Linked DNA regions of Oreochromis niloticus. The protein of the gene in region 1 purifies or fractionates together with the protein of each later gene. This does not show direct contact. Links are inferred from orthologs where the notes say so. Each region holds a gene or a part of one and is shown in the gene's direction. Other genes may lie near its edges.

Region 1 (15,978 bases):
CTTTTATAGTGGGTGCTAAACTGCGACACCCATTTCTCAAAATACTTTCACGAGACCTTTTTTTCACTTACTTTGTGTTTATACACCACTTTGCCTTTAATCATTAGTTCTTATTATCGCCTGCTCTATTCTGCAGTGTTTTGTTTTTTTTGTTCTGTCTCCTTCTCCTCACCTGCAAACGGTATTGGCAGATGAGCCTCCCTGAGCCTGGTTCTGCTGTAGGTTTCTTCCTGTTAAAAGGGAGTTTTTTCTTCCCACTGTTGCCAAGTTCTTGCTCAAAGGGGGTCACTTGATTTCTCTGTATTATTGTGGGGGCGGGGTCTGCCTTACATTATAAAGTGCCTTGAGGTGATTGGTGACATATAAATAAAATTGAATTGAGGCCAAGAGGTTAAAACAGTGAGATAAACAGAAAATACTGACAACAGTAGAACACAACAGGACACACATTTATAATCAGACTTGGGCAGGTTTATGAAATAAGCATGATTTTATAGCTTTGCAACCATTTCCAAACAACCAGGAAATGAGGTCTGGTAATAAAAAGCTGTCAGATGTTGTTCTCACAGGCTCAGCAGCACAGGTTTTACATAATAGAAATGACTACAAACCCTATAATCTAGTTTAATTGAGCCAATGATTAGATTACATTTTCAAAAACATTCCAACTTTTTTTTTAATATACGTTTTGGAGGGCGGCACATGGCTGTGTTATTCGTCAACAAGGAGAAAAATGTAGAATATTTCAAACCTTGTATTTTAACAACTGGGAGCTACCGAGGGAGCTAAAGATCACATCAGTACTAATGAGGCGAGCTCCTCCCACGTTTCCATCCTGATGGCTGCAGTGGTGAGAAATGTTCCTCTGCTGGGGATGTTTTTCACCGTCGTCCACTTTGTGTCATGACTTTTCCATGCCTGGATTTAGCTCCTACACCAGGATATGGTGGGAGAGAGGAAGAGATGGACAGATTCAGCACACACCCACTGAACCCAGCGAAGGTGTGTCTCAGGCAGCGGTGTGATACGCAGAGCCCATTCTTGGGGAAACCCAGCGTAGAGTTTAGGAGGTTGAAAGTGACAAGGGGCCCCTCGCTATCACTTTAAAAAAAGCTTAAAGTGAGCTGTTCTGGAGAGGAGCGTTGTAAGGTGCAGTGGGAGCTATGCTAAATCAGTGGCTGACCTCTTTTCCTAGTCCTCGTTCTCCCCCTCCTCTGCTATCTTCTCTCTCTCACCCGTCTCTCTTCCTGTTTCTGTTTCACTGCTATCATAGTTCGGTTATAGGACGGAGATTAGAAAATAGAGGTGCTACTCCCTTTAGATCTAACCTGGTTTCTGCCTCTTCTACTCTTTATTTACTTTCACAGCGGAAGGATACGCCGCCTTCCAGGAGGACAGCTCGGCAGATGAAGCAGAGAGCCCGTCCAAAATGAAGCGCTCCAAAGGAATCCACGTGTTCAAGAAGCCGAGCTTCTCCAAGAAGAAAGAAAAGGATTTTAAGGTGAAAGAGAAGGGTCCTAAAGAGGACAAAGCCAAGGATAAGAAGTCAAAGGACCTGACAGCTGCAGATGTGGTGAAACAGTGGAAGGAGAAGAAGAAGAAGAAGAAACCAACCACAGAGGCAGAACCGGTCCCAGTGGAGACCCCCACCTTCAGGCCCATCTTTGGAGCCCCGCTGGCTGAAGCTATCAAGAGGACAGCTCTGTATGATGGCATCCAGCTACCAGCAATCTTTAGAGAGTGTGTGGACTACATTGAAAATTATGGGATGAAGTGTGAGGGCATCTACCGGGTTTCAGGTATCAAACATTTTGATTTTACCATATTTTTTTTTAAACAAACTAAAACATCTCTGATTACTCACATTGGCTCTTTTTTCCTTTCAGGTATGAAGTCCAAAGTAGATGAACTAAAAGCTGCGTATGACCGAGAGGAGTGCCCATGCCTGGAGGAGTATGACCCTCACACGGTTGCCAGCCTGCTGAAGCAGTACCTCCGCGAGCTGCCCGAAAACATACTTGGTCGAGACTTGGCCCAGCGGTTCGAGGATGCTTGTGGTCGGCAGGTTGAGGCCGAAAAGGTGACGGAGTTCCAGAGGCTGCTGACCGAAGTTCCGCCGGAGAGCCGACTGCTCCTCTCCTGGCTCGTCACGCACATGGACCACGTCATTGCCAGGGAGGCAGAGACGAAGATGAATATTCAGAATATCTCCATCGTACTTAACCCCACCATACAGGTCAGCGGGAAGGAGATCAATCAGTGAAAATGCAAATGCACCGTTACATGGGAAAGGGAAGAAATATGCAAGAAGATCATGAGCTGGTGCAGAGAACATCAATTTTCCAGCAACAGGCAAACTAAACATCAAATAACAATGTGGAGCTTTGGCTCAGGCTCAGATATAGCCCAAAAAAACCCCAACCCTCCCCCTAGCAACAAACCAGTGAATTTTTATTGGATCAAAGAGTCAGTTCATCTCTGAAACCCTGGCCCAGTTTAGTGAAGCTAATTTATTCCCATAGGGGACATCTCTGTTGCTGCTCCACTTATTCTGAACCAGCAGCAGCAGCCGCCACAACACTGTTAAATAAACACTTCTCCCAATTAATGAGCGGAGTCCAGGGCCAGTTTAATCAGGCTAAATAAACATGCAGGAATTTGTATTGTGGAGGAACTGGTGCAGATACAATTCAGCTTTGTGCTCGTTTCCCTCTGGTGATCCGTGTGCCTCCTTTCCAGATTGGGAATCGTGTCCTTTACATTTTCTTCACCCACGTGAAGGAGCTGTTTGGGGATGTAGTCTTGAAGCCAGTGGTGCGGCCACTCCGCTGGTCCAACATGGCGACGATGCCGGCTCTGCCTGAGACCCAGGAGAGCATCAAAGAAGAGATCAGACGGCAGGTGGGTTCGGTCCTGTGGCAACTAATGACTGTCTATTTTAGTGTTTGAACAAATGAGTTTGTTAAAAAAAAAAAAGTTTCTTTTTTTGCTTCATATCTTAATATCTACTGCAAAAGGAAATGATTTTTTTAATATAAGCCGATGATGATTTTCCCTTGAAGCAGATTTTAAAATGTTACAACATAGTACATAGTAATGCAGCTCTAATTCAGCAAAGCAGGCCTTTTCTATTTATATTAAAGTGTCTTGTCAGCAGTACGCATCTTTATCTTGGGTTTGTTCTCAGTGTGCCAGGACTCAGTGGGATTCAGAATATTAGTTAGTTTCTGTCACCTGTATATAAAAGAAAATAGAAAACACGTCAGCTTCAGATGGTTTAGTCGATTTGAACCCCAGTCTCTCGGGTGAAGCTGTTTCTTTAACCTTACAAAATGTTCCTTCGTGGCCTGGATTTCCAAAACAATAAAACATCCCAGAGGAGGCGCACACATCTCAATCCCTCCTAGATCACCTAACTTAGAATATACGGAAAAGTTATTGTAGATTTTTTTTTGTCCTATAACGCTCAAATCATGTTAACTATCCAACTAACTTTAATTCTGTCATTCATAAGTGGTTATGCATGAATCTCAGACCGCCCTTTTTAAAAAGATTATATGGTTTATTTTGCTACTTAATACTTTGACTTTTTTGTTCTCATATTGACTACTTTATTAAATGTGTTTGGCTCCTCTACTTGTCTTGAGCTGATTGTTGTCATCAAGTAAATTTCAGCCAATATTTATGAAGGTATTTGTGTGTAGGAGTTCCTCCTGAACTGCCTGCACCGGGACCTGCAGGCAGGGGTGAAGGACTTGTCCAAAGAGGAGCGGCTCTGGGAGGTTCAGAGAATCCTGACCGCCCTGAAACGGAAACTGAGGGAGGCCAAACGTCAGGTAATCTGTCTATATCAGTATTTATGTTTCTCTGGATACAATAGCTGTTCATCCACCCAGTAATACCAGTGAGGGTTTGAATTTCCACCTCTTCTGAGATGTATAAAAATTATAACCTTCATTAAGGTAGGAAACAGCAGCAGGATTGATTCTTTAGTCTGTATTAAATTGAGCTGGGAGTCCTTAATAAACTCTAATGTGGCCCTACACAGTAACAACAAAAAGGCAAATGCAGATGAATTGACCAACTATGCTGTATGTGTCTGCTCTCTGTGGGGCTTTAGGAGTGTGAAAGTAAAATAGCCCAGGAGATAGCAAGCCTGTCAAAGGAAGACGTTTCTAAGGAGGAAATGACTGAGAATGAAGAGGAAGTCATCAACCTCCTTTTAGCACAGGTGAGTAATTCATACAAACACATCGATCAGCAGCTTGCCAAGAAAACCTTTAAATGTCTTCTCGTTCTCTCGATAATCAGGAGAATGAGATCCTGACGGAGCAGGAGGAGCTGATCTCTCTTGAGCAGGTGCTGCGTAGACAGATTGCTACTGAGAAGGAGGAAATCGAGAGGCTGCGGGCAGAGATTGCAGACATACAGAGGTAAAAGAGGACAGTGGTTAAATATGAGGTGTGAACAAAGAGTTCCAGTGTTGGAAGTGTAAAATTTATAATCTATACCTGATGTAAAAGTGGTCAGTCTCCCAGTCGGGTACATTTTCTTGTGGATCTTTAGATCATTTTCAGTGTGACTGCTGATTTCAGATCCCTCAGTGGATGTCTTGTTGTGTCCTTTGATCTGTGTGTGAAGGACCATATTGGGCTGTTTTCAGGACAACACTGGTACCATTGCATTGTTTGAACCCCTGTGAATGTCTCCTCATTAGCAGCAATACCCCTGATGACATTTGAGCCTTTTTGAGAGATAAACGTGATATTTTCCCTCTGGTTTTATGGTCGAGCAGAAATGGTGCATTCGCTGTCCACTCCAGTCCAGGGATGGTCCGTCTGCCTGGAGTGAGCTCTGTTGCCAGATAGAGGCATTATACAAGTAAGCGGCCCAACAGGTGTATGGCCACATGGGTCTATGGGCCACTCTTACTTGTGCTGTTGTCGGTCCATCAGCCAGTCACAGAGGAAAGCAAAGTGATAACACACAAAGAGCTGAAGTGAAACCGAGTGTTAAAAGCAATGAAAAGTGTCCACTGCAGCCACTGCCTGTGCTTTTAATACTCTGTATTTTGATCTTTGAAGTTTTTCTCTGCGGTTCTCCCATTCCCAGTGAACTCCAGTATCCCTCCCTGCTCTATTCCAGCTCACCTGTGAACCAGTCAACATTCGGCAGTCCCTTTAAGTCATGCTTTAAGTTGATTTAAGACAGTGTACTCAGTCGGACAAGTTTACAGGACCATGAAACCAATTTAACACTAAAACACGACATTAGATCCTAGCAGTAAGCCAGCGTTGTGTTCCTTCGCAGTCGGCAGCAGGGTCGCAGTGAGACAGAGGAGTATTCATCAGACAGCGAAAGTGAAAGCGAGGATGAGGAAGAGCTGCAGATGATACTAGAAGATCTGCAGAAGCAAAACGAGGAACTAGAGGTGAGAAAGCATCCAGCCTCCACTACCTGTTGCGGTGGTTTTGCAGTGTTTGACAAAACTGTGGTTATTCATATACCAAAAGCTCAGCACGCTTTTGTTTCTGGTAATAAAATAATGAAAGTATTGGCTGGAGTTTTACAGGATCTAATTCTGAATGTGTACTTTGTTGCCTTGAAGAACAAAAACACTCACCTGAACCAGGCCATCCACGAGGAGCAGGAGGCCATCTTGGAGCTCCGCGTTCAGCTTCGCCTCCTGCAGAGCCACAAGCTACAGCAGGAGCTGACCGTCCAGCCGCCAGCCGAGCAGGCTCCACCCACGCAGCCGAGCCCGGAGGCCCGCGGCGAGGAGCAAACCAAGCGCTCCGTTGCTGCCGTGGCTCCTACCGCCGATGCAGCTGCTGCCACAACCAACGGAAAGGCGGCTAAGGATCCATCAAAGCCTTCACCAAGCAAAGACAAGAGAGACACCAACATGTGAGACCTCTGTGATGCTTTTGGTGGTCGTCTGTGCTGGTGTTCGTCTCTACCGTGGGTCAGTTGTCCTGTAGCGTTGCTCGCTATCCTGCAGGAGATTTCACATTGCAGAGCTCATTAGTTACCGTGTCCACCAAGTGGCAGACAAGGAAAAACCTTTTATATCGTCTTTGGTGTCCTAACCTTCTTTTTCACATCCTCATGCAAAAACAAACCACCCTGAAAAAACAAACAAATGCTAGGTTTAGCTGGTGTAGCGGACAACTGACTACCACTGTAAGAGACTAGCAGGGACCATGTTTTCAAATATGCAGTGCCAAGCCTGTATGAAGGAGGAAGGAAGGGGCAGGAAGGGGAAATGAAGGCAATGAGAGTAAGAGAGGGTAGATTGCAGATTATTTCTCACTGTTGAGCGAGTCAGGAAGCGATCACTAGACCACATGTCATCAGTCCCTGTCGCTCAGATTCGTCCCTTAACTTGATGCAAATTTGATTTTTTCTTTTGGATAGAGACCACTGTGCCATAACTTGAGGATGCCCCAGAGAACCACTGATAACAAAAGTTTTTTGAATGATGAAGAATTTATGATCGGTCTATCTATATATTATATATTTAAGTAGTATTCTGAAGTAAACAGATGACTATTCAAGAAGTACATTAAATTTAAGTTGCAGCTTTTTAGTAATATATGAATATACAAATAAATATATTGTAGAGGGTCTTGTTCTTTTTCTTTTTTTGAACAGCAGATTCATAAAGAGAAGTGTTGCACCTCGCAACTAACCAGTGGATGAAAACACGAACAGCCAAATAACAAATGTGTATTCATCGCTGCAAAATGCAGACAAACAGCTGGAGGCCACACTTTGCTCCGTAGTGCAGTCATTGTCTCAGTTACCTTTGCCTGCGCTGCACTAATGAGGAAGAGCGGGAGATCATATTTGTTCAGTTTAATGAGGATGTAACAAGTCTGTGCTGATGATTTATTTTTTGCCTCCTATATGGGTGGAGACACGCAGGAGGCTCGCTTTGTTTTGTATCTTCATGTGTGGAGGTTTTCTTCAATCCTTTCATTTCACAGCTGATCCGTGTCTGCTGCAAGGTAACGTCATTGTTCGATACTATTTAAGGCAGAGATGTGTCCTGACTTACGTTTTCTGTATATTATTGTAAAATTGCAAACATACTGTATTTTCAGCTCTTCGTGTTTTGTCTTCTTGTTGCTGTTTTCTTTTCTTTTTTTACCATTAATAACCTGTATGGAGTTACGCTACTGTGACTGCCCTGCTTTGGTCACAGGCAAATCCATGCAATCTCATCTGGAGTTCCTGATTCCATGAAACTGCTAGAACAGGCTCAGAAGCTTCTCGTGAGGTTATTTTCATATTGTTCTGAGCTTTTGTAGCTGATTGTTACAGACAGAAATGCTGTGAAGAATAAAGTGTCAGTCTAAAATAATTATCTCACTGTGTCTTTTCCTGAAGTTTACCTTTTCACTCAACTATGTCTGGCTGGACATGTATTCCATATTTTTCCATTACACAGTATCTGCCTAAATACAAACCTGAGCATCTCTGAGAGAATAGAAAGGTGGACTTTGACTCTGAAAACAAATTACTCAAGAGATAGTGGAACCACCCAGCTTTTTTTTTAAATATGTTTTTTTTTGGTTAAGGCTTTAACTGGTTTCCGATTTGGAAACTAGGTTTATCAAGTAGGACTAAAACAACTAAGAGAACAACGGATGTTAGGAACTGTCTTTTCAAAATTAAAGCTCGACTTGAATTCACATAACATGATGACCATTTTCTCTTGGAGGAAAGCAATGGTTGTAATATAAAAGAGTAGATTTACATAGTCTACTGCATTTCAGGGAATGTTGGCTTTATAGATATACAATTAATACTAACCATAGAGCTATACATACCTTCACTGGGCATTTTATTAGGTACAACTTGTTATTACAAGGTTGTAACATTTTTGTTCCTTTAGATTTGGCTTCATTCTTATATCTTCATGGCACAGATTGAACAAGGTGCTGGAAAAGTGTAACCATAAAGATAATGACAGCATCACACAATTACTGTTGATTGGTTGGCTGAGTCTCCTGTTCCACCACATCTGAAAGGTGCTCTATGGAATAGAGATCTGGTGACTTTTGAGATTTTTGGGGACATTTGAGTACAGTGAACAAAAAAAGGGATGTCTATAAGGATATGAACATGTCAGCAACAATACTCGGTTAGGTTGTGGTTACAAAGATTCTCACTTCGCCCAGCGTGTGCCAAGAAAATATTCCCCTCATTATTACAACAGCAGCAGCAGCAGCTTAAATTGTTGATAGAAGGTGGGATGGATCCATGCTTTTATGCTGTTTATGGCAGATACTGACCCTGCTATCCATATGTTGCAGCAGAAATCAAAAACCACCAGAACAGAACGTTTTTGCATTAATCATCAATTACTGGTGAGCGCATGTAAATTGTAGCCCCAGTTTGCATGGTACTGGTTTGGTATTCAGCATGTGAAGGAAACCTACAGTATTCTATCTAAATGCCAGATATAGTCAATCTTCATGAGTTATCTGTTATCTTACCTGGTGTTCGTTTTCTTTTTTAACCACACATTTCTTGAAACATTTACAATTACTGTGTCACAGTCATTCCTCTATGAAAAACAATAAAATCACAAGTAAATGACTGAGAATTGCCTTATAAGTTGCTTATTCAGTTTTAATTGTTATATTTTCTTTTATTTGTGGTCATTTCTATCATATACCACAGAAACCTGCATAGCTTGTGGCTCTGTGGTTACTGTCAGTTTTCCTTGGTGCCCTCCCCAGCTTTCTTAAATGTTTCGTGATTTTGTAAAATTGGCCAGGTTTGGCACCTTAATGGCCAAAATCAAGTTCGTTTATAAGAAATAACTTGGCCCAAGTATGGTAGTAGTTTGGATGCTGAAAGTGAACCAGGTCTTTATCTTGTCAAAAGTCAGACTACCAACCTTGGTCAGTTTTTCAGTCCTAATACAGTGTGCGTGCATTTATTCTGCCAATTCGCAGTCCAAACTGGCCCAAGTCCACATACCAAAAACCCACCCAAACCTGGTAGCCATTACTGGGCTGGAGCCCACTCATTTTTGGCTGCCAGGGCACAGCCGGCTGTGTGATGCTGATCCTACTTTAGTCTTTTATTTTTGAAATAAAAACATCATTGTCACAGTCTTCATTGTCTTTGGTTAAATTAGTTAATTGCAAAAATATGTTAAGAGCAGACTGACATTTCACAGTCCTGTTATACTTTCATTGAACTAAAGACCATTGTATGCACTTTTATCTATTCTTAACTAAAGAACACTGTTTTTCAGGGTAAAAATATGTCTAAAATCTTTAATCTCTTATTTCAAAATATAAACATGTAACTGACAGGCAGAGTTAAAATTGCAAACGAAGTTGTTTGTTGCAACCTTTTCGCATCATTTGTGCCAAAACGGCTGTAAGATACCTTTATTTTGAAAGTCACTCCCGGATGTTGTAAATTTATTTTATGCGCCTTGTCAGCCGCTTAGTGGAGATGTCTGTCTGTATCAGGGGCTGGGTTTCTATTTTATCCAAGAAGAGGGGAAAATAATAGAGTTTCAAGCATGAAGAAACAAATACATTGAGTGTACACTGACAAATGATGATTTAAAAACTTTCCAAAACTTACCATGGCTATAAGGGAGCTCAAGGTTTGCCTTTTAGGGGTAAGTGGTTGATGTTTTTTGTTGATCCGTTTTGGGGCAAATTCCTTTAGTCTGCTGCGAAACTGCAAAAGCCGACAACATGTTGATGTTAACAGCTGCTCGTTTACAACTTAATGGTAGAGTCGGTACTTTGTCAGTTCCGGTATTTTATTTAAAAGAACTCTTCTTTGTCGTCTTCATGAAATAAGTTGGGTATTTAACTAATATTGGTAGCTAGTAGTTGGCTTAAAACCAACCTCATCGGCCGGCAGTCATTTTGAGTATGTCCTCTCGCATGTTTTTTGTAGTTCTTAATAGATTAAGCTAAATCTTTACTTTATAACGGCTCTGACAGTTTATCAGCCATTACGTCATCATTGGAGCCAGCGAGCCGTTAGATTTCTTGCTGCGTTAGCGAAACACGTCAGTCTGTCTTTATAAACGGTGACAGGGACGGCGAGAGCGCTTTGGACCGCAAACTGCCGCTTTTTCGACGATGTTGAAGTCGGGAGCTGGGAACTTTTCAGAGCCTCATAAGGTTTTTAGGCCCCCGCATACCTCCTCAGGGCCCTGACATCCTCACTAAAATATTTTTTTGAGTCAGCCTAACCAACCATATGCTGACCTTACCCATCTTTTGTTACACCTCTGCATGCTTATAACAAGCGGGAGGAGCAGATTTTATGCAGATTTAAAGTCACATAAAACCATACAGGGGTGTTTATACAATTAAAAAAATGGGGTGCCACATTTGGAGACTAGGAAGTCGGTGGGTGGGTGGGGGGTCCTATTTTCTACATCAGATGTGTTACATGAAAAGTGGCACTGCATGAGAGTTTAAATTAGACAGACTCAAAGATTAATGTAGTTACAATGAGTTGAGCATTATTACTGTTGACATGTTGGTCTTTTGGAACCAGAGGTGACAATTGAGAGGTGGTGGGGGGGGTGTCTATCCAGATATTGGTAGTATCGATACCAGCACCGGTTTTGGTATCGATACTAGTGCGATAGAATTGATTCTTAGTTTCTATGATCTAAATTCATTATGTAGTCCATTGAACTGTATTAAATGATTTTTGGGGGGAAAGGATAAAACAGACTTTTATGTCTATTTTATTTATTCTCTATAACCCATTTAAACAACAGAAGTCTTTTTGAGACAGGCACACTTGTGCCTCTTTTCCACTAGTACCAATTTGACTCAACTCTACTCAGTTTCAGCTGTTTTCAGTTACAACTGAGTACCACCTAAAAACCGAATTGAGTTGAGCCATGCTGAGCCCAGTAGGTACTAGTGGGGCAAAAAGGCATTACGTTCCAGGTCTCCAAAAAACACAGTTTCAAGATACACAAAAAGCTGAAATGTGTGTTTTGTTGTGTTATCTAATTACTGTGGTTAATAAAATGTATTCAGAATTTGCAAATTGATAGTGATTCATCTCATAAGTCATGACACACCACTCTTCTCTACATAAGTTGATGTTATAAGTTAAAAGTATTGGTATTGGTAACAGCGATACTGGCCCTGTATTTACTTAAAATCTGCAGTATTGCGCAACACTAATAAGAAGTGGCTCTCTCTGTGAACCACATGCTCATTGGCTAAAGCCTTGTGATTGTGTTGAGCAATTAGTATATTCTGAAAAAGTCAACTTACTAAATGGAGTCAATATTTTATTCAATACTTTCTGTAAATAGGAAGTGAGTGTGTGATATCAGTAAAAAAATGTATACCAGTATTATCTCGGATGATGTTGGATATGATATAGCCACTGTTTGCAAGGAAAAATGTGTATTCCCAGAGTGGTTGGTGAGTAGTTCCCAGAGGTCGCTTGGCTGTTGCTACAGTAGGTGAAATCAGTCGCAAAGAGGATGCTGTGCACAAAAGCCTCTTTGTTATTGCTTTGGTGGCTAGGAGATTGTTGCGCTCACCTGGAGTTAGCATGAAAGATGCTGACTACAACTGGAACCTTTTGCAACCACAAGAGTTGCCCCCTGCTGGCCGTTAGTAAGAATGCAGGTGAAGTAGTCATTGTGAAGACCCTTTATATAAGTAAAAGTGATTATAGTACAAAAGTTTTACCATCAAAATATATTTAAGATATCTAAAGTGAAAGTTCGTGTTACACAGAATCATACACCGTGTATTACTGGATAATTTCACGTTATCATTTTAATGACTTAAATACTGCTGTTGCATACTTTTGTATTTGCTACGGTTGCATAATCCACTAGGTTCAATAGTGACCGCCCTCTGTGTGTGCATGTCCTGTGACTGATTCTGTTTGCAGGACACTGGAGTTGGGAAATCCAGCATTGTTTGCCGATTTGTCCAGGATCATTTCGATCACAACATAAGTCCAACCATAGGGTGAGTGTTAACCAGGAGAAGGCTTCAGCAGCAGGAAACTAATCAATTGTGTTTGGAAACAAAGCTGAAGTAAAGATGTTCAGAAATGTACAGGGAGATTCAGCCAGTTAATCAGTAATCTGGCTGAATGAAACTATGCGCAAGCTCAAGCCACATCATTTGTACTAATGGGTAGATTGATAATCCTATGAACTGTCTATAAACTACAGAAGTTAAACCTAATGATAGAAGAACTGATTACTCAAGAGATAAAACTGAATGTACCTTCCTTCCCTTGGGTCTTTTATCTTAACTGAATACATAGATTTTAAAGGAATTGCACAAGCCACTATTACCACACTGTTAAAACTTAACAGCCGTTTTATTACTATTTAGTATTTCTTTAGTCCACACTAAAATTGGGCTGATTGGTGATAGTCATAACCTCCTAGACAATGTAGAACATGCACAGCTCAGCCAAAAGGTCTCCTTCCTGTAAGGAAAACCTCAGCAGGTAACACATAGCTTATTCTAAACAAACTTTAGCAACTGAAATAAAGACAAACCCACCTGGGAGTCATCCTGTTTCAGCCCCACAACTCCAATAATTCTCATAAGGCATTTTCATTTCATTACAAATATGTGATGTAATTACATTTTTAAAGTACAAATTTTAGTTAAGTGTTTGCAAGCTCTAATGCACAAATTACAACTTCTGTAAGCCTGAGAAAAAAAACCTTGATTTTACTAGGTCATTGCATCTGACATGAAAAAACCCACTTTGGAGTAACACTTTTAGACAAAAAGATTATAGAATTTTATAAAAATGATAGTTTTTTTTTTAGTACTTGGTGCAATAAACACTAAAATAAACTGATTATTACCTGTAACTTCAGCTTTTGCCATCTATACCAGTCTTTAAACCCACTGTTGTGACTATGTTTTTCCTTTTTTTGTTACATGCCTCTATAGCAACAAACATGCTGTACCAAACATACTTGTTTTCAGTGTTCTTACTTTCCTGCTGACATGCACAGATTTTTTTCCCTTTGCTTTTAAAGAGTGACCTAAAAAACAATAGCTGTTGTGAAATGCTTTAAATCATCCGCAGAGCGTCATTCCTGACCAAGACAGTGCCATGTGGAAATGAGCTACACAAATTTCTGATCTGGGATACAGCTGGTCAGGAACGGGTGAGTGTACGCAACAGAAACTCCTCATGGACTCGCTGTTAGCTTTAAGTTAACACATGTGATGTTGATTTTCCATTAAACTTTGCATCAGAAAGCTGGTACTCGTGATAGGTAGATATTTATAGGGTATGAAACAGGATGCTTGACACAAGAGTTCAAAGGTCATGAGACATCACGGTGATTAATTTGATGGCTAAGAGAGGGAGATGGGGTATAGCTGAAGCTTGCCAAACCTGCTTACTGCATGGAAAAAACTAATGCGAGCATTTTCTGCTTATGTGTGAAAAAATTATGCTGGGACTTCTGCTGTGAGTGTCTCCTAATACATTTGACTGACTGATCTTGTGTGATCAGTGATGCTGATGGTAAACATCTGTGAACAATACAACTGTGGACACTCTTGAAATATTGATGTCACTGTAGTGTAGTGTTATCATCATGACTGTGGGCTTGCTGATTAAACCTGTGACGTCTGAGTAATTAATATAATTTAAAAAACATGCCATAATATTTTATTCTACATTTATTATCATTCAAACACCATTTTAAGCAGTCTTTTTAGTCTGCTTGTTTAAACACACACTTCCCCTACCTGACATTTTTGGGATACCATTTAGATACCAAATGTAACTGAATATGTCAGTGTTTCTCAAACTTTTCAAAATGAGTACCACCTCATAAAATATATGGCTCTTAGAATACCACCCTTATGACTGACATTAAAGTAAAATAGTATACGCCTATTTAATACCATATAGTTTACATGAGACAATTTTATTTCTTATATAAATGTTATTTATTTTAACTGTCATAAACAGGATGTGACAAGTGATAATAATAACAAATGTACTGCATTAAAACATTCACAGCAGGTGGGATATCTGGTCTTTAAGTGATGACCACAGTTTGAGAACCACTGGAATATGTTATTTGAAGGCACTGATAATGTTTTTAAATTTCTTATTTAATTGGCCACACATTGTCTACTTTATTAAAATACATACGATTTCCACCAATTGACTTTTTTTGTATGATTGTTGAGTTAACTAAACTGCTGCAACTTTGAGATGAAGTGTATCTTCTCTTATCACTGGCAATGGATATATAGTTGTACTGATGATAATACACATTGATAGTTGCTGAAGGGAATGGTGCCGGTTTTGACTGATAAGAGAAACCAACACTAACTTCAGTACAAAATAGAAACAATTTTGAGATGCCATACATTGGTATAGGAAATGTAAAAAAAATACAACCTGAGTGTGATATTTATTCTTAAATCGACATTCCTTTTTGGATTCACTGTTCATAAATGATCTCAAAGTTTGGCACGTGTTGGCACATTTTTAGCCGGCGCGTTCACTCATCGTTTATCTGCAGTAGGCTGACATTTAGTGAGGTGATTTTTACATTCAGCATTTCTTTACAAGCTACCACAGTTTGTCAAGTCGAAGTGAAGGTAACTGCTAAAAGTTAAAAAGGCCTGGGGACTTGAGGAAGTAATTGTTTCCATAAACTCATCATGTAAGAATGTATGGGCATAGTACCCTGCCTGTATTTTATAAGCTTTTTTTTCCCCCTTATTAATCATAGACTGAGCACTTTGGATCATATTTATGTGTGATATACAAAAAAAATGAAATCAATCATGCTAACTAATATAAATGTGTCGTCTTTTTTTAGTTTCACTCGTTAGCCCCTATGTACTACAGAGGATCGGCTGCTGCTGTCATTGTCTATGACATTACTAAACTGGTAAGTGTAACAGGAAGTTTACTATTGCGAAACTGGTTAAACTGTCATGGCTGTTAGCTCCTTCGTAAAAATGAAAAACATCAGTAACAGCTGTCCTGAACATTTGTAAGTGAAGAATTTTGCTACTTTTCCATCACTCTGGGATGCTGTGTTTCATGACCTACAAATGTCATTCTTTCCTGGTTTGTTAATGGAAACTCGTCTGGAAAAAAAAAAAAGCAATGAATATATGACAGGAGTTGGAAAAAAACTGCTGGGCATATTCTCATAAACAATCTATCCCAGGATTGACCCCAATGTCTTCTTGTTGTCCAGGATTCGTTCCAGACGCTGAAGAAATGGGTGAAGGAGCTGAAGGAACACGGTCCAGAAGACATTGTTGTAGCTATAGCAGGGAATAAGAATGATTTAGGAGACATCAGGTGGGCTTCTTTTTTTCATCTCTTTTGTTACAAATATGTTAAAAAGAAAAGTTTCTACAGACACTGTTAGACTGAGTTAACAAACAAATCTGACAATGGAAATAATTTACCTTCAAAGGGGTCCAAACTTGAGGGATTTTCACAGTGAGAAAACTGCAGACAAGAAGTGCGAAGCATTGTGCTGCAAGTCTTTAAGAGTGAAACAGGCCAACTGTTAGTTTAATCCGGGCAGAGATCTGAATCATTGTCATTTACATCCTTATTATTTACAAAGACTCTACCCACGTCCTGCCATACCACAATGAAGTTAAGGTGGTTAAGCCAAGGACCTGTGCATTTCTTAAATTTACAACCACTGGGGTTCTTTGTACTGACAGCAGACTGAACTCTGAGGCGCTTCATCAATGAATAGCTCGTTAAAATGTGGTCGTTGTCAGAAACTTCTTCTATTTTTGTTTTATTGCCTGACAGACTTGAGACCAAACTAAAATATAAATGTATATGTGGCCTATGAACTAAAATAATTTTGACACCTGTGTTATTAGAGGTCTGTGGCATCACTTCAAAGGACTTATTTGTACCAAAGCAGCAACATGAGCTTTCTCTTTATGTTTAGTGATAAAG
Region 2 (16,088 bases), on another chromosome or scaffold:
CCCCCAACAAGTACAATACAGTGACTTCTAACTAGTTCACTTAATTTGGTTTTAATTTTACCAGATAGCTGACAGAGTAATGAAGATTTATTGCCAATAACGTAAGCAGACCAATCATGCTAATGTAAACGGTCACAGAGCAAAGGCCCAATAAGAACCAGGAAAAGATTTGCCTAAATTTGTATTGCATTTTGATCATTTTCACATGAAAAACTTTATATTAAGTGAAGGCCCACTTTTCTTCTTTCATACCCCACAACTTTAGCTTGCAATGTAGCTCTCCTATTTAAAACTGTCTTAACCATTAACTGTTTAAAAAAGATGAAAATTGCAAGCATAAAATACTTCCATGGTAAAATTCCCAGCTTTACAGTATGTTTTTTTTAAAGCATGTTTACATCCTGGTTTGTCCAACATGTTTATACTTAATTTTAGGTGAGCAAAGTTCTAGTCTTTTGTTAGTCTGTTACTTAACACTAATTACCAAGTATATGTCTCTGCAAAGCACCTGTCCTGTCTGTGGATACAAGCTTGCTAATGACAGTTGAGAAATTAGTACTCTACTCCCTCATCGTAATTATCAATGGTATAAATTTGGATGAAGTCCTCTTATGAGGCCTTGAGCTGGGCCTTTTTGCCATCTCGGTGTTTTGATATAGAATAGAATAGAATAGAATGCCTTTATTGTCACTATACAGTTGTACAATGAGATACAGAGCATCTCCTACTCAAAGGTCAATTTCTATCCAACTGGAAGTCCTTTTCCAGCTACAGAGGTCAGACCTGGAAGCTTCCTCCATCTTTTATACATTCTATAGTCCTAGTATCATTTTTGCCTCCAAAAAACAAATATATTTAAAAAATGACAACAGGGTTAGGCAAAGGAGAAATCACGGGAGCAGTAGGGTGGCTTTCTCACAGGCCTTTTTTTTTTTCTTCACAAACCAACTTATGTTTGCAACCACTCCTGCTGGCCTTAGAAATGACACCAATTTCAGACACTTATTCAGTGGAGCTAGTTTCAAGTCCTGGAGGCATTGACCATCATTAATACAGGCTAAGGCTGTAAGTAGACAGTCCAAGTGGAATGACCCTTTAGGTTGATATACAGTAAGGCTGTTAATACAATTCTTAATGTGTTCTCAGTATAACAGGCAACTCCTTTGTATAACACGCACCTTGTTACAAGGCGGAAAACGCACAGCAGTCCTTGCAGAGAGACTATATCCTTTCTTACTCCCAGGTGTCTTCTGTATGTCATAAAGTATGGTGCCAAACTGTGATAGAAATGGAAGGTTTATTAATGAGAAACACAAGAGAGAGGTAAAGAGAGTGCAGGCAAGGTGGAGCAGGGTGATTTTTAACAGAAGGAAAGCAGCAAAGGTGAAAGGGCAGGTTTACAACGTGGTAGTGAGACCTGCTACAATATGTGGTTTGGAGAAGGTGGAAACAAAGTTAAAAGGGGCAAGGCTGAGGTGAGACAGGATGTTGAATGTGGAGCACCAGACAGGAGAAAAACAGGAAGACCACAGAGCAGCTTCATGAATGTAGTAAAGGAGGATATGAGGAGGGTTGGTGTGACAGAAGAGGATATTAATATTGGGTCAGATGGATACTTAAAGGGAGCAGCCCTTAAAGGAAGAGGAAGCAGATGTTAATGAGCAAGGCAAACTACCCACAAACATTTAGAAGCACTACTTTATAAAACGTATGTAAATAATCATTCTAAATATACCATTCATTCACCAAAAGTCAGCCGAAAATCAAACCTCGCAGCTCTGCCTGCATCTCAATGCACTTACTGTAGCTGACTTACTTCATTGCATCACCTAAATTAGCTTTAACGGTCACGCGGACATAAAAACTGCATGCATAGAAAGAAAGGGGAAAAAAAATATGTAAAACTTGTGAAAGTACCCCTTAACTCTTTCTCTCACACACAAACCTCGTGGTTGTCATGGCTTCCCGGGCCGACATGTGGCGGTCCCTGTTGTGGCATTTGGTTCCCCAGCCGGTCTGGCGCGTAATGGAGAGGAAACAGCCTCCTCTCCACTGAGCTCCCAAAACACACTCTCTGAGCAGGAGCGGTCAGCATCGTTGAAGCAAACGTTTGGTAACGTAACGAAAACCCAAGTAGGAGGAAAAAATACTGCTAGCCACTTGCTAGTTGCCCGACACCTGTGACCGTCGTAGTGTTTCTGCTTGCTGTAACTATGGAAACCGAGCAGCATATCCTGTTCAACGTTGAATGGTAAACTTTATTAAAGCTCCCACATTTCGATAGACTTTAATTTACATTATGCGTGGCTGACAGCTTGTATTTATGCTTGATCAAGAGTTGGGAAAACTGCACTCAGTTAATACACAGCATTTTTTCATCCCAGCGATTTATGCAAAACACTGAACCTCTGTAGTTTGCTGAATTTGCATATCTAAATTTCAAGACGCTTCCCCACTTAAGTAGCGATGCCCATCCTGTCGAACACAAACATCCGCTTTACCCCACATTTAGTTTGTTGGGATCTTTTCAGCCTATATGTGACCTCAAAATAATTAAATAAAACAACTGCAACTGAGGGGCCCACAACTTAAGAATTACTTTGGAATTTATACATTTATTTGCACTTAAACAAAGCATATTGCACTTCATTGCAAATGCATGTCAATATTTTCTGAAAACAAGGCACTGTTATTAAAATAGCTGATAACCCAGAAGCAAAGGGTAAACTTTAAAGGCAAATGAAGTCCTTTTATACAAATAAATTACTTGCCAAGAAAACATTGGATATCAGTGTTGCCATTTAAGCCATGACGACTGGCAACAGAACTGAATCCAAGGTATGTTATTGGGAAAAACAGCAGCACTACACAACACATCACAAATGATCATGTATATACACACAGGCACTTCTTTCATTAACAGTAGTTTTTAAATTACAGTTAGGCCGGGGAAATAAAAAAAACAAAACAAATTAAGAACTGAGGTCTGAAACGGTCCTACAGCATTCAGCGATCACATTCGTGTTGGCAAGAAAGTCATTCCATGATATGTGTGCAAATTATTTTAGTAAAAATATCAGCTGTATCTGGCACACGCTCTAAAATAATACTCATAAAAAATACACTCTGGAACCTGTAAAATATGGCAAGATGACGTGGAATGTGCCAAAATAACTGTGGAAGGACTCAAAAGAAACATACATTAAAGAAAAAGACCCAAAAACACAAAAGCTAGAAGGCAAAGGGATACTTTCTTTGATCAACAAAGGGGCACTCAAAAACTGAGGAGTGGATGTTCTTACATTTTTTTTGGGGGGGGGGGGGGGGAGTGATTTACTCTGACTGAGGCACTGAAATTGATGGGCCTTTGGGGTCATCGAACCGATCCATGGTGTTAATCTGCATGATCATGTGCAGACCGTACACTAAAATTAGCAGCGTAAGGAGCACAGTCACCAGTCCCATCCAAATTGCTGGGGTGAAGAAGCTTGCACAGTCACTGGCATAGGAGAAGTTTGTGCTGTCGGACAACCCAAAGCCCTGAATCTGTATAAAAAAAGAAAACAATTATTTAAGAAACCCTTCATCAACACACCTCTTCATGCATTGGTGTTTGACTTTAAAATTAGCAAATGCGGCACTATATTTGTACCTGGAAGTCGACAAAATTTAGCCTCCATTCAGATGAATTTGTGTCTGTTGTGTTTGTGCGGAGCAGGGCATCTCCGAAGTTGGCGACAGACTGGCAATGAAAGGAATACTCTGCAGGAGCATAGATGTCACGGCTTGCGATGTAAGATGCACTGAGGTTAAAGTACTGCAGCTCAACTGCATCCAGGGAGAACCATTCTCGTGCAGAGACAGAATAGAAACGCTTGCTCATTGAAAAACTGGAGATCAGCAAGAGAAGGATGGTCAGAATGCGTATCAGTGTAAAAGGCACAATCACTGTTTAACTATGCTTTCTAAACTAGTTGCTTAATTACATATCCGTGAAGGATTTTAAAATAAACTGATGCTACCAGTGATATTAAAAATATATTTTTTTAAAAGTCTGAAACATTAAACATTACATGGAAATAATATCTCTACTGCAGAGATTGAGAAAGATATTTTTGCCTTTTTAGAAAACAAGAAAATTTTGTTTTTGAAAAAAACTGTCTTCAAATGGAAGCCGTGATTTCAGGAATTTCAACAAAATACTTCATTTTTTGAAATGCGTTCTTACTAAGAATTAAACAGGAAGATCCCATTTATCACTTAAACATAAACCCACATTAATTTAGCAACCCTATTTATAAAAATGCCTCAAGATGATCATTTTATGAACTCTGTTGTGTGATAAGAAAGCTGTAAAAATATCAAATTGCTTAATACTTGCACAAAGGGTTGGCCTCCTAGTTGTGTAAGTTTCTATGTTGAAACTAGACAGAAAATAGTCGTTGAGCTAAAATGTCCATAGAGACAACCCTCACTGCTCACTGCTTCCAAGATGTGTGCAAAATAAAAATAAAAATAACTAAAATGCATCAGCTACAAACAAAGCGCACCAAAAGACCAGCTGTTGACTCCAAGAGTTTAAATGTCAGGTAAATGTCATTTTGTGTTTCAATTGTAGAACAAAGTGATCTCTTAGAGAAAGCAAAGCAACAGAATGCCTCATTCATGCCAGCACTGTGCTGCACCCATTAGTACACACTGTCACTCACAAACTTCTTTTTAAACTGGGTGTGGGCAGAAGCAGCAGCGGCTCAGCTGGATTTAAAGCCACACACACTGAAAGAACCGGTTTGGAAAAGCAGGGGTGTAGAGCGTGGTATTTAAACAGTAAATACAAATACATAAGAATACTATTGCTGTGGTACATTGAGCTGAAAATTGAAAAGCACATCCTGGGGACACGTAAGCGTTATTAACTAATTGAAAAGGTACAATTTTGAATCTTTAATAAGCAACTTTTTGCCTTACCTTAATGTAAAGCCTGATTGGTAAGTAAGCACAAGCCTGAAATGAGAAAAAAATAAAACATGTAACTGGTTATTTCTCTTTAAATAACAAAATAACAAAAAAAACAAAAACAAAAAAACGTAAACTCATCACAGGCTGGATATTGCTTTGGGAAATAATGAAAGGCCACTTTACCGTGAGGTACTGCCATTACACAGTGATCCACCCAAGGTAGGTGTTTGCTGAGCAAGGTCGGTCCATGGTGAGCTCGGACCCAGTTTGACAGTGAGATTTTTGAGCCCACAGCATTATGCAGGGACCACCAGATACATTAAACATGATGGGAGGCTTAACTTCAGGTTCAACTGCTTGTAGCAAGGACCGACCCACTGACTGATCAGAAATTGGGGTTTCTGAAATCATCTGCAAAGTTATCAAAATGTTGTTCATTCTCAAAAAAATACCCAAACATTGAGAATGTGTTATAATGTGGCACATTTTGACTAATTTTAAAAACATACTCGTGATGGCTGGAATCCTGTGTATATTGCAGTGTATGGGATGTTTTTTGCTTTCATTGAACTCAGAACTTTTCCAATAATTTCATCTGTTGACAGCAAAATGCATTCAAATTATACACAAATCAAAATATAACATAATGCTGATTACAATTATACATGTTTGTAATTGTAAACGTCATATACAATTATAAATGTTTTTAATCCTCAGCACTTAAAAACATACCATTCTCATGCAGGACTTCCTTGCATGACTTCTGTAAGCTACAAAACAATTTAAAAATAATACACTTTAAGTATTAAATAAAAACAGATAACTGATTATTCAATATAATTTTGAATTATTTTGAAAAATCTCACCTGCTACAATAAGGAAGATTGATGAGCAGGAGGTTGCTGACAGATGTTTTGATACTCAGATGTGAGAGAGAGTCTGCATCGACGAGCACAGGCGAAACACCGAGCTTCTCCTGCAGCAGAGCTGCCATGTTAAAGGAACCAGACCACTCCAAGGCAGGCAGTGTCACTTTTGAGGTAGAAGACTGCATTGCATCCTGAAAAGGATCAAGTGGGGAGAATTATTAGTCTCTGTTAGTCTAGGGAAAAACTATCTTAATTTTGGACTAACATATGTGTTATAAAAACATACCTCAATGTTTTTAAAAGCACTATCCTCCTTGTTCCCAAATACTCCACCAAAGACTGTGAAGTCATCTTTGCTTAACTAAATACAAAAAGGGAAAAAAAATATTTGTTTCTTGAATTCAGGAAGACTTAAACAACTGAAACATTTATCAGTCCCATTAACCCACGAGCAATTAATTTATTTTAGCAGCTAAATTGACTTAATGCCATTCATAATCAGACATTATTTTAAAGGAATTCTTTTTTAATGGCTCAGTTTGCATTTAACATACTTAAAAAATACAGACTGTATAAACAAATTACATTAATTTGGACAATTATTATCTGCTACTTCTTCCATTTTCTTTGTTTCAGTAATACTAGGAAAAACTACATTTCAAATCTTAATGTCTGTTTGAGTGACTTGTTGTCTGTATGCATGACAGTATGCTAGTGTGCCAAAATGTGAGTGAACTGGCGGCTCCACAATACCTCAATTAACAACAAACTGGAATGAAATCATTGTCGCATTCACGCTTTTCACGCAAGCTATATCTAAAGGAATATCTTGTTTGTGCTTGTGTAGTTGTTTAAAAGTTATAGAGGATTTACAATGACAATTTCATGACAATTACAATGATTAAAAATATCACATGGGAAAATATAAATATATGGCTCAGTCACAACACTGAGTGTTCACCACCACCACAAAAAAGACCCGATGTATCACAGAGGAACTGAGAAATGGGAAGTAATGCCAAAACTCACTGTCACACCACACTGTTGCAGTGTCACATGGGAATGCAGTACAACTACCCCATTTTACACAACTTGCATATAAAAGGACTAGCTTTCAAATCAACGAAGGGTGAACAATTTAGTGACATAAACATATCCATTACAGAGCCAGAATCTAGTTCATGTGTCGGGTACTGACCTTGTCCTGCAAGAACAGCAGCACAGTGTGGGAGCCAGAGCTGAAGGCAGAGGTGAGGTAGGCACTCAGCTGCTCATAAGATGCTATATGACCAGCTGCAGGTGAGGCCAGTGGTGGCAAGCTAAACATAAGGAAAAAAATAAAGATGAATTGTGATATTAAGTGGTTCAGTTGCATTGACACATTTTTTGAAAATGCTGAAAAACCCCAGCGGCTTTTATTATGAAGCACAGTACTTCATTTTATTTTGAAAAGCCACCCATCAGTCAATCAAATGAAACCTCTGAATACTCCCCAACAAAAATGTGTTTCCTGTAAAGCTGGCATAACATTATACAAAAATGATAAATGTCTAAATAACAACAACTACAACAACAACAAAAATAATGAATCAGATATTCATCCTATCATCAAAGAAAACTATTTTGGTATATCAACCTTGCCTTGTCCTCCTGCTTAACACACCACCTCATACAGTAGTATACTTCCACATTTTAAATTCCTGTGTGCGCCATCCTAAAGAAGTGTAGTACACTTGCAAAACTCTTGCAAAACTGTGTTTTAGCAAATGTGCCAACCCAGCTCTTAGTAAACTTTTACAGGAGCACAATAGAGAGCATCCTCTGTCACTGCATCACAGTGTGGTACTTCAGCTGCACTGCAGAAAACCGTCGAGCTCTGATCGTCAAAACTGCCCAGGGGATCATTGGAACCAAACTCCCGAATCTTGACACCGTTTATGCTAGCCGTTTACAGAAGCGAGCTAGCTGCATCATCCAGGTCACAGACTTTTTGTACCCCTCCCATCGCGGAAGAGATATAGGGCAATCAGAACCGCATCCCCCAGAGCTGTAGCCTGTGTCACCGCTCCCCCCAACACAAAATAGCTAACTCTCCCTCTCTCTCCTTTACTCCATATCATGTCTGCTGCTAATGTACAAAAGTGAACAAATTTCGTTGTATAACTAATGACAATAAAGTTCTTCTTTATCTTTAATCTTACAGCTTACTTTGCTTTTTTGCAAATGAAGATCAACAACATTAACATATCTACTAGTGCTAAAGAGCGTCACCTTAGGGGGTTAAATCATGGAGAATCGTTATTTCTGTGGATTATTTCAAAATTAAGAAATAAAAGGATGGCCATTATGAACAAGAGCTGGATTTCACAATAACCTTTTAGGATTTTTTTATTGTAACAAAACGCACAAGCAAATATCTACAATTTCTGTGTAAATACTCCTCTAGATATTTAGCTCCTAGACTTTAAACGCTTAGTGTTTGCAAGGTTGGGCAGCAAAGTAGAAACTCACTTAGCTAGAAGAGTTAGCATCAGCGTTAGCATACAAGATAACTTTGCCGGTAGTTAAAGTGAGTTCTGCTGAATGAATTAGTAAGAAAAACTAAATATTACCGTTCACTGGACCACATAAGAAAAGGCACTTGAGACGTGGCGCTCCCCAAGGCGAAAAAAGGGGCGAAAAGTAGAATACAAACACCCATTAACCGAGTGCAGCTCCTCGAACCTGCCATTTTCGTTTAGACTTTTCCGGAACTCTATGCTCACGTGACCCACACCACCTGACAGTCATGTGCTGAAGAGATGACTTCCTCCTTCTTTCATTCAGCCCGAACAGCCCACAGCAGCTGCTGACACCAATGACACACTACAGCTTTGCTCTTATTTAGTTTCTCTCGGCGAGAACAGTTTAACATTTCCAGGAGCGAAACCGCTACAGTACCATCAGCTGCCCATCAGCACATTGCTTAGCAGAACAATTGATTCTTTAAAGTATGGTGTGCGTGTGTGTGTGCGTTTAAACAAAGAGTCTTCCATTATCACTTCATTTATATCCATATTTTCTTTTTTTCACTTTCACTTAGGGCGTAGCCTAATTGTCTAAGAAACTCTTAAGCATTTAAGAGTTAAATTGTTTAATTCCCTCTTTGTTTCATGTCCTAACAATTACAAATAAGTAATTAAGTAAATTATAAATAGATAAATAAATCAGTCTTAACATTTCTTTAATTGAAAAGCCACTCCTCAAAAAACAAAAACAACAACAATCAAACAACCACCTGTTAGCAAACGCTTGGTGCCAATGGGAAGGAAAAACTCCCTTTAAACAGGAAGAAATCTCCAACAGAACCAGGCTCAGAGAGGGGCAGCCGTGTGCTGCAGTGGGTTGGGGTGATGGGAGAAAGCCAGGATAAAAGATTCATTGTGGAAGACAGCCAGAGATTAATAATTACTAATAATTAAATAAACAGTAGCCCAATAACAGTTATGGTAATGCTGTAGTTACTTAGCATTTTACCTGTCCCAAAAAGCATAATTATGCTTATCCTTCTACTGAACTCCTATATGATATTATCATATGTAAGGCATAGATAAACTTCAACATCACTGTAATGTAAAAAGGATAATATATGAATCATTCAGTGATCATGACTGCATAATTAACTCTGTACAACAAATACTTTTACTTTAGCTACTTGGGACTGTAGGTTGCATTTCACAGCCAAAACAGACTACTTAAATAGGAATGTGACATTTACTTAAAAAGGGGCCTAAATGCTTGTTTAGCCACTTTGCAGAAAGGTTATCCAAATCTTTTGCAGCACTACTTTTCGTGTAACACCGTTTTTATTAGGAGACAGGGCTGCAGAAAAGACACTTTTCTTTAATAATATTTAAATCCGATCAAACATTACGATCCCCTGCCTTACCCCTGGTCCCCCACCCTACACCCCCTGTACCACCCCGTTAAAAAAAGGAAAAGAAAAGCCTGGAAACACCCCTGCTGTAAGGGCCTGAGTGCGTGCGCTCAGTCAGTGAAAGCAACTCCCATCCACACAGCTGTGGCAGCGGAAGGATATCTCTGCCTTCATCCACGCAACGCTGCGCCTACAACTGGGAAGGAAAGATAGAATAAGAAATTAGAGAACACACACACCGTGGTTTCAAAATGGCCAAAAACAAAAGCCAAACTCCACAACAGCACACCCCGTGTGCACAATAAACTATCGCCAAAGCCGGCTCAAAGCGGCGTCTCCCGCTTTGCAGCTTGAGCCCATTGTGTGGCAGGATGGGAAATAGGGAAGGAGGATGCGCACTATTTACCGACGCGCAGTGACATTGTTCTAGACTGCTCCACGATCAGGGCCATCTTTGGTCGTCCTCGCCGGTGACAGTGTGGACTGTGTATTCCATTGGTCATTTATACCCAATGATTAATAAATAATATTTAACTTTGAAGAGCAATTTAAAGCACCTGTGCAGAGATAGTAAGAGACAGTTACCCGGTTTGTGGACTCACCGGTTTTATTTGCTTCCAATACCCTTCATTTCTCAAGGCAAAAAGAGGGCGAGACGGGAGAGGCGGTGAGACAACATGGATGAGGAATATGATGTGATCGTTTTGGGCACCGGACTCACAGTGAGTAGTCAAGCTTTGTTTTGTTTGCACAGAAACACACCGAATTGATTGTGTCAGCTTCCCAAATGATGGTTTTAGCCAGACCAGAGGCCCGCTATCCTCTATCCTAGCCAAGGAGTGAAAGCCCCTTGCATCCCGGCGTGCGTGTCACATTAGAAATTTATCATAAGAGATGCGCTTTGGAAATAAACCGCACCAGCTGATCTGCTTGTACACGACAAGAAGCAAACAGTTGCTCGACCGGGAGTTGTTTGCTTTCCCAGAGTCACAGCCGGCTCAGTGTTGTGTTACACCCAGCAGCATCTTTTAGGCGTAACCCCACAGTGTGTCATGGTCCTCTTTGCATAGGCAGGCCTCCATCCTGAGGTTGGCGCAGGCCTGAGCTCCGGTTTATTAAATGACAGAGCTTTTCACTGCTGCCACTATCGCCGCACTTTCCTTTCACTCATCACACCCTCTGCGGCAGAAATGCGCTTTCTGTGCTTTTCTCCCAGCTCTTTGCATACACGGAAGCCGATATTCTGGTAGTTTTATAAATGGAATCAAATACGACGATGCATATCCACAGGATTTTTCTTTTCTATGTAATACATTTTTAATAACATTATTACTATTATTGTTATTATTATTATAATTGTCGTAGCTACGTTGTTAAGGCGATACAATCACGCATGCGCACATCTTTTCCACTGTCCCCCGCATCCTTCTGTCAGAACCTCCTTACTTCCATTTACATTCAGTGTCTAAACTAAGCGGCGTGCTTATCTCTAATGATATGCTGTAAAAAGGTCTAGACCAAATAATAGAAACATTTCTCATCTTGACAACTTAAACTACACCCCTCAATGAATGATTCAACACATCTCTAAAACACTGGAGCCTTGACAAGAGAAGGATTTATTATAGGGCTGTTTTATACCTAAGAGTTATTGATGTAATTGATGTGTTGGATAAATAAATCCGCTTTCGTGCAGGAATGCATTCTGTCCGGGATCATGTCCGTGAATGGCAAGAAGGTTCTGCACATGGACCGAAACCCCTACTACGGTGGGGAGAGCTCTTCCATTACACCCCTGGAGGAGGTAAGGACTTCTGGGATCTATAAAACCAATCAATAAACTTTTAATGTTTCTCAGTATATCTCATTTTACTTCCAGTCCCATCTGTCACCCTTTTACTGTCTTCATTTGCTAACTGCTTTATCCTCTGTAAAGCCTCGGATTCGATGGGCCTCACAGGCTTTCCTGTCCTTTTCCACAGCTGTACAAGCGCTTCAGTCTGCCAGATACCCCACCTGAGTCAATGGGCAGAGGACGTGACTGGAACGTTGACCTCATACCCAAGTTTCTCATGGCCAACGGTTAGGATCCTATTACTAATTATATAAAAAAATGCCATAAAAGTTAGCACGTGATAAGTACACAAGAGCCAAAGTGCTTTTCAGACTATTCAAGAGGGTAATTCTGGAGCTTAATATTGTAACTGCAGAATGCTTTAATTCTTCAAGGTTGGTCACACACTAACTGCTTGTTTAGGTGACTCTGGAGACCCTGCAATGTAACCTATTTAAGTGGCCAACACCTTTGCCAGCATTAATGCTTGTGGGTGGTGTTTTACCATGTCCTGGTGTTTTATAAGCAGTGCCATTCGTGACAGGAACAAATAAAATGCTGGGACTTTTTTCCCTCCTGGCCTTTAATCTTTGTTCCAATCAATATTTTTTCAGAAGCCAACATATTTGTCCATAAAGTTTTTCCACTTCTTTGTACATTTCCTCATATTTATTCTAGTAGTTTTCAAAATCCCCCACCAGGAATCTGATGACATTTCTGAGTTCTTACATTGAGGCGGTGGTTGTTGTCCTCTTAGTGATCCATTCAAAAACTAGGGTAAAAAAGTAGCTGGAAATGCATAGGAGGAATCGACCAGACTAAACGGGCCAAATACAATAGTTGTGGGATGTGTTAATGCAACATACTTATATTTCCAGGGAGGTGCACGTCATGTTACAGCATGTTACGTCGTAGGCTTTCAAGGGATTTGTGGTTTTGTTGTATATGTAGTGTGGATTTAACACAGAACCGTAAATCCCCTGTAAGATGTTGCGTGTGTTTGCCTCCCTGATTGCAGGTCAGCTTGTAAAGATGCTGCTATACACAGAAGTGACACGGTATCTGGACTTTAAAGTAGTGGAAGGCAGCTTTGTCTACAAAGGAGGAAAGATCTACAAGGTGCCATCAACTGAGACTGAGGCACTAGCTTCAAGTAAGTCACCTGAACGTTGTCTCATCACGTTTTGCACGCAATGACGTCAACAGTAGAATGCTGAAACCTCGGTTTGAATACACAGATCTGATGGGAATGTTTGAGAAGAGGAGGTTTCGAAAGTTTTTAGTCTTTGTGGCCAATTTTGATGAAAATGACCCCAAGACCTTCGAGGGCGTGGACCCCAAAACCACAACGATGAGGGATGTTTACAAGAAGTTTGACCTCGGTCAGGATGTCATTGACTTCACTGGCCACGCCCTGGCCCTCTACAGGACAGATGAGTAAGAACAACATCACCCATTATCAGCCGTTTAATTGGTTTAATTCTGCTTAATGTCACAGTTGCATGCTTTCAAATTTGAGTCACAGATGTTCTTATCAGGGAATACCAAGGGTTTATTGTTATTATGTGCTTAAATAGATATTAATGGAGTTCTCACATTGTTTTTGCTCCACTTCAGCTATCTTGATGTTCCTTGTTTGGAGACGATCAACCGTATCAAACTCTACAGTGAATCACTGGCACGGTATGGCAAGAGCCCTTATCTCTATCCCCTCTATGGTCTGGGAGAACTGCCACAGGGCTTTGCCAGGTATTTTAACTTAAATTAAACTTATGATATTTATGATGGAGTCTATCATAACTATCAAAACCACTCCTCGAGTTAACGAATCATACTCGTTTGTAATCTTAGGTTGAGTGCAATCTATGGAGGAACCTACATGCTGAACAAACCTGTGGATGAGATCGTGATGGAAGGTGGAAAAGTGATTGGAGTAAAGTCTGAGGGCGAGGTAAAGCAGATTCTGCTTTATTGTCCACAGCTACGCAAGTTAGACAGTATCATTCCAAATTTTAAAGTGGTTATGCCTAAGGTTTATTCAGCCAAATATACTTATCCAGCAGACTCACATCATTACTGTCTCATTCCCACTGCAGGTGGCTCGTTGTAAGCAGCTCATTTGCGACCCTAGTTACATCCCAGACCGTGTCCGTAAAGCGGGTCAGGTGATCCGTGTGATCTGCATCCTCAGCCATCCCATCAAAAACACTAATGATGCCAACTCCTGTCAGATCATCATTCCTCAGAATCAGGTTAATCGCAACTCAGGTGAGCAATATTTTCTATATTCAATATTTCTGCTTTTTAGTCTTCAAAGAAATGCTGCAAATTTAGTCCACTACAAACTAAATTTAGCTTATTTTTTAACATCCCTAATCAATAATTATCAGACTGCATGTTAAATGGTGACAAACTAGCAGTGATGAGATCTGCAGCTGCCCTCAGCTCCACGGTGCCTTTTAGCACCTTTCTGCTAATTGTTTCAGTTGTACTCTTTTGATTTACTATCACCGTTATTCACCTGATTTAAACAGTAAAGTTGGAAAAAGTAAAAGACTGAAGGAAAAATAATCACTATGCATAACTTGCTTGACAAGGAGAAGAAGAAAGACAATTTTAAAAAGTAACTGGTGCATATACTGGAGCAACCCTGACATTTGTTTTGTTAAAAAGTTATGGAAACAAAAGCAAAGCTAAAGGAAATGAGATATTAGACACATAGCAGGTGGCTAGAAACATGACTCCAGATGAATGCTTATATAAACAGGCAACTGTTTACTCAACTGGGAAGCTAACGTGTCAGTGTGTATACAGCTCGTTCCTGCTGCCTCCAAGTGGACAAAAACGTCAATTAATCCAGCTTTAAGTTAACTCTTGATTTAACCATCTCTTCCTGTTAACTCCTTTGTCTGTTCTTTAGACATCTATGTTTGCATGATCTCCTACGCTCACAACGTGGCAGCCCAGGGGAAGTACATCGCTATTGTCAGCACCACAGTGGAAACCAGTGAACCTGAGAATGAAATTGAGCCAGCTCTGGAGCTGCTGGAGCCCATCGACCAAAAGTCAGTCCCACGTTTTACTTCTTGCTTATTCAAATTCATGCATGTTTATAGTTTTACACACAGGGGAAAAAAATGCTCATAATATGATGCATGTACATATAACTGGGATAAATCACGTTTTTTCTTCCACAGGTTTGTGGCTATTAGCGACCTTTATGAGCCCACAGATGACGGTACTGAGAGCCAGGTGAGACACTTCTTCCAAGGTCAACATCCAGAAAAAATATTGTATTTTACAAGATAACAAATTAATACGCTGTCACAACTAATACGGCTGCGTTGAAGGGTCAGTTGACCACTTTGTTGCAAAGAAATGTTGTACTAGATAGGTAATTATCATTCTATCGTAGACTGTGCATAGAAGATGGTTGTAGTGATGATCTAATGATGTCACTCGTTGGATTGTGATCTCCTCTTTGGAAGCCTCAATTTTATGCGCATCAGCTGGCCTGCTTGGTTATTTTGGACCCAGAAATGGATGAGAGTTTGCATTGCTTTCAAGTTAACAAGTTTGGTTAGCAAGAGGCACCCATAAACTGTATGAGCACATAAAATAGATGCAGACACCCGCTATTTAGTGCTAAGTTCCATACAGAATGGTAGAATTCACTCACCAAATGCATAGAGCTATTAATACTGTTAAATGCAAGATATTTGAAAGTTAATTGTTTTAAAAAATAGCCCAAAAGACCTTAAATAAAGCCCACATTTGTTCCTGCTCTAAAATGGTAGCATAGGAGGCTGTGTGGATTGACTCACTTTTGAAGCCAGCTTGTGTGTGCACGTTTAGGTGCCAGCTTGAAATTTTAGCTGCAAGTATCAGACTGCTCTAAACAATCAGATTCAGTTTTTTTTCTTCTTGCCTCTGTATGATGTCACTGTGAGTGGATATCCCTAATATGTTCATATCAGACACAGAGCTGTGTTGTGTTTAAACCCTCTGTTTTCAGTCATTTACAAAGATTTGTTAGGAGATGGGAGATAGATCTGCTTGTTTCAGACAGATGAACTGAGCAGGTGCACAGAGGCCTGGTCTGAGAGTAAGGATCATGCAAAGCTACTTTTGTGGATTTCTGAATAAAAATGTGAAGGTGGAAATGAGCACCGCTGCCCCACAGACCTGCTAGCACTGCTGTAAATTCTAAGTCTTGTTATTTAACTTTTTCCTCAGATCTTCGCATCAAGGTCCTACGATGCCACCACTCACTTCGAGACCACTTGCAACGACATCAAGGACATCTACAAACGCATGACCGGGAGCGACTTTGACTTTGAGAACATGAAACGCAAACAGAACGATGTGTTTGGGGAGGATGAGCAGTGAGCTAGAGAGGGGGGGCTTCTGAGAGAGGGCATGGCTGGGAAAGGGGGTGGATGCAAAAGTGGAGGCAACGGGGCTTTTGGTAGAGGGCTGGGGCTGCCTAAACAGTGCTTTAAAAACAAAG

What was found.
Region 2: the proteins of rab31 (region 1) and gdi1 purify together in Homo sapiens (co-immunoprecipitation; 3 studies listed by BioGRID and IntAct, counting the BioPlex papers as one, with this or other methods). This does not show direct contact. The link is inferred for Oreochromis niloticus from reciprocal best matches to the Homo sapiens genes RAB31 and GDI1.

What each region holds. Positions count from the first base shown.
Region 1 is NC_031982.2:24,681,951-24,697,928, reverse strand, and holds the start of rab31 (ras-related protein Rab-31), read left to right. Parts: upstream 1-9,513; 5' UTR 9,514-9,616; coding exon 9,617-9,652; exon of another isoform or gene 9,653-9,714; intron 9,715-9,888; exon of another isoform or gene 9,889-11,915; intron 11,916-11,925; coding exon 11,926-12,005; intron 12,006-13,095; coding exon 13,096-13,177; intron 13,178-14,860; coding exon 14,861-14,932; intron 14,933-15,247; coding exon 15,248-15,354; intron 15,355-15,978. Other genes in the region: ralbp1 (ralA-binding protein 1), read left to right, coding at 1,368-1,799, 1,887-2,236, 2,740-2,901, 3,705-3,836, 4,121-4,231, 4,312-4,433, 5,311-5,431, 5,609-5,911. UniProt on the Homo sapiens protein: The small GTPases Rab are key regulators of intracellular membrane trafficking, from the formation of transport vesicles to their fusion with membranes.
Region 2 is NC_031984.2:7,300,759-7,316,846, reverse strand, and holds the start of gdi1 (rab GDP dissociation inhibitor alpha), read left to right. Parts: upstream 1-10,128; 5' UTR 10,129-10,421; coding exon 10,422-10,466; intron 10,467-11,440; coding exon 11,441-11,548; intron 11,549-11,726; coding exon 11,727-11,826; intron 11,827-12,596; coding exon 12,597-12,731; intron 12,732-12,816; coding exon 12,817-13,015; intron 13,016-13,195; coding exon 13,196-13,327; intron 13,328-13,429; coding exon 13,430-13,529; intron 13,530-13,674; coding exon 13,675-13,846; intron 13,847-14,498; coding exon 14,499-14,643; intron 14,644-14,775; coding exon 14,776-14,830; intron 14,831-15,814; coding exon 15,815-15,967; 3' UTR 15,968-16,088. Other genes in the region: V-type proton ATPase subunit S1, read right to left, coding at 3,334-3,546, 3,653-3,890, 4,969-5,004, 5,162-5,370, 5,469-5,554, 5,692-5,729, 5,826-6,019, 6,115-6,189 and 2 more. UniProt on the Homo sapiens protein: Regulates the GDP/GTP exchange reaction of most Rab proteins by inhibiting the dissociation of GDP from them, and the subsequent binding of GTP to them. Promotes the dissociation of GDP-bound Rab proteins from the membrane and inhibits their activation.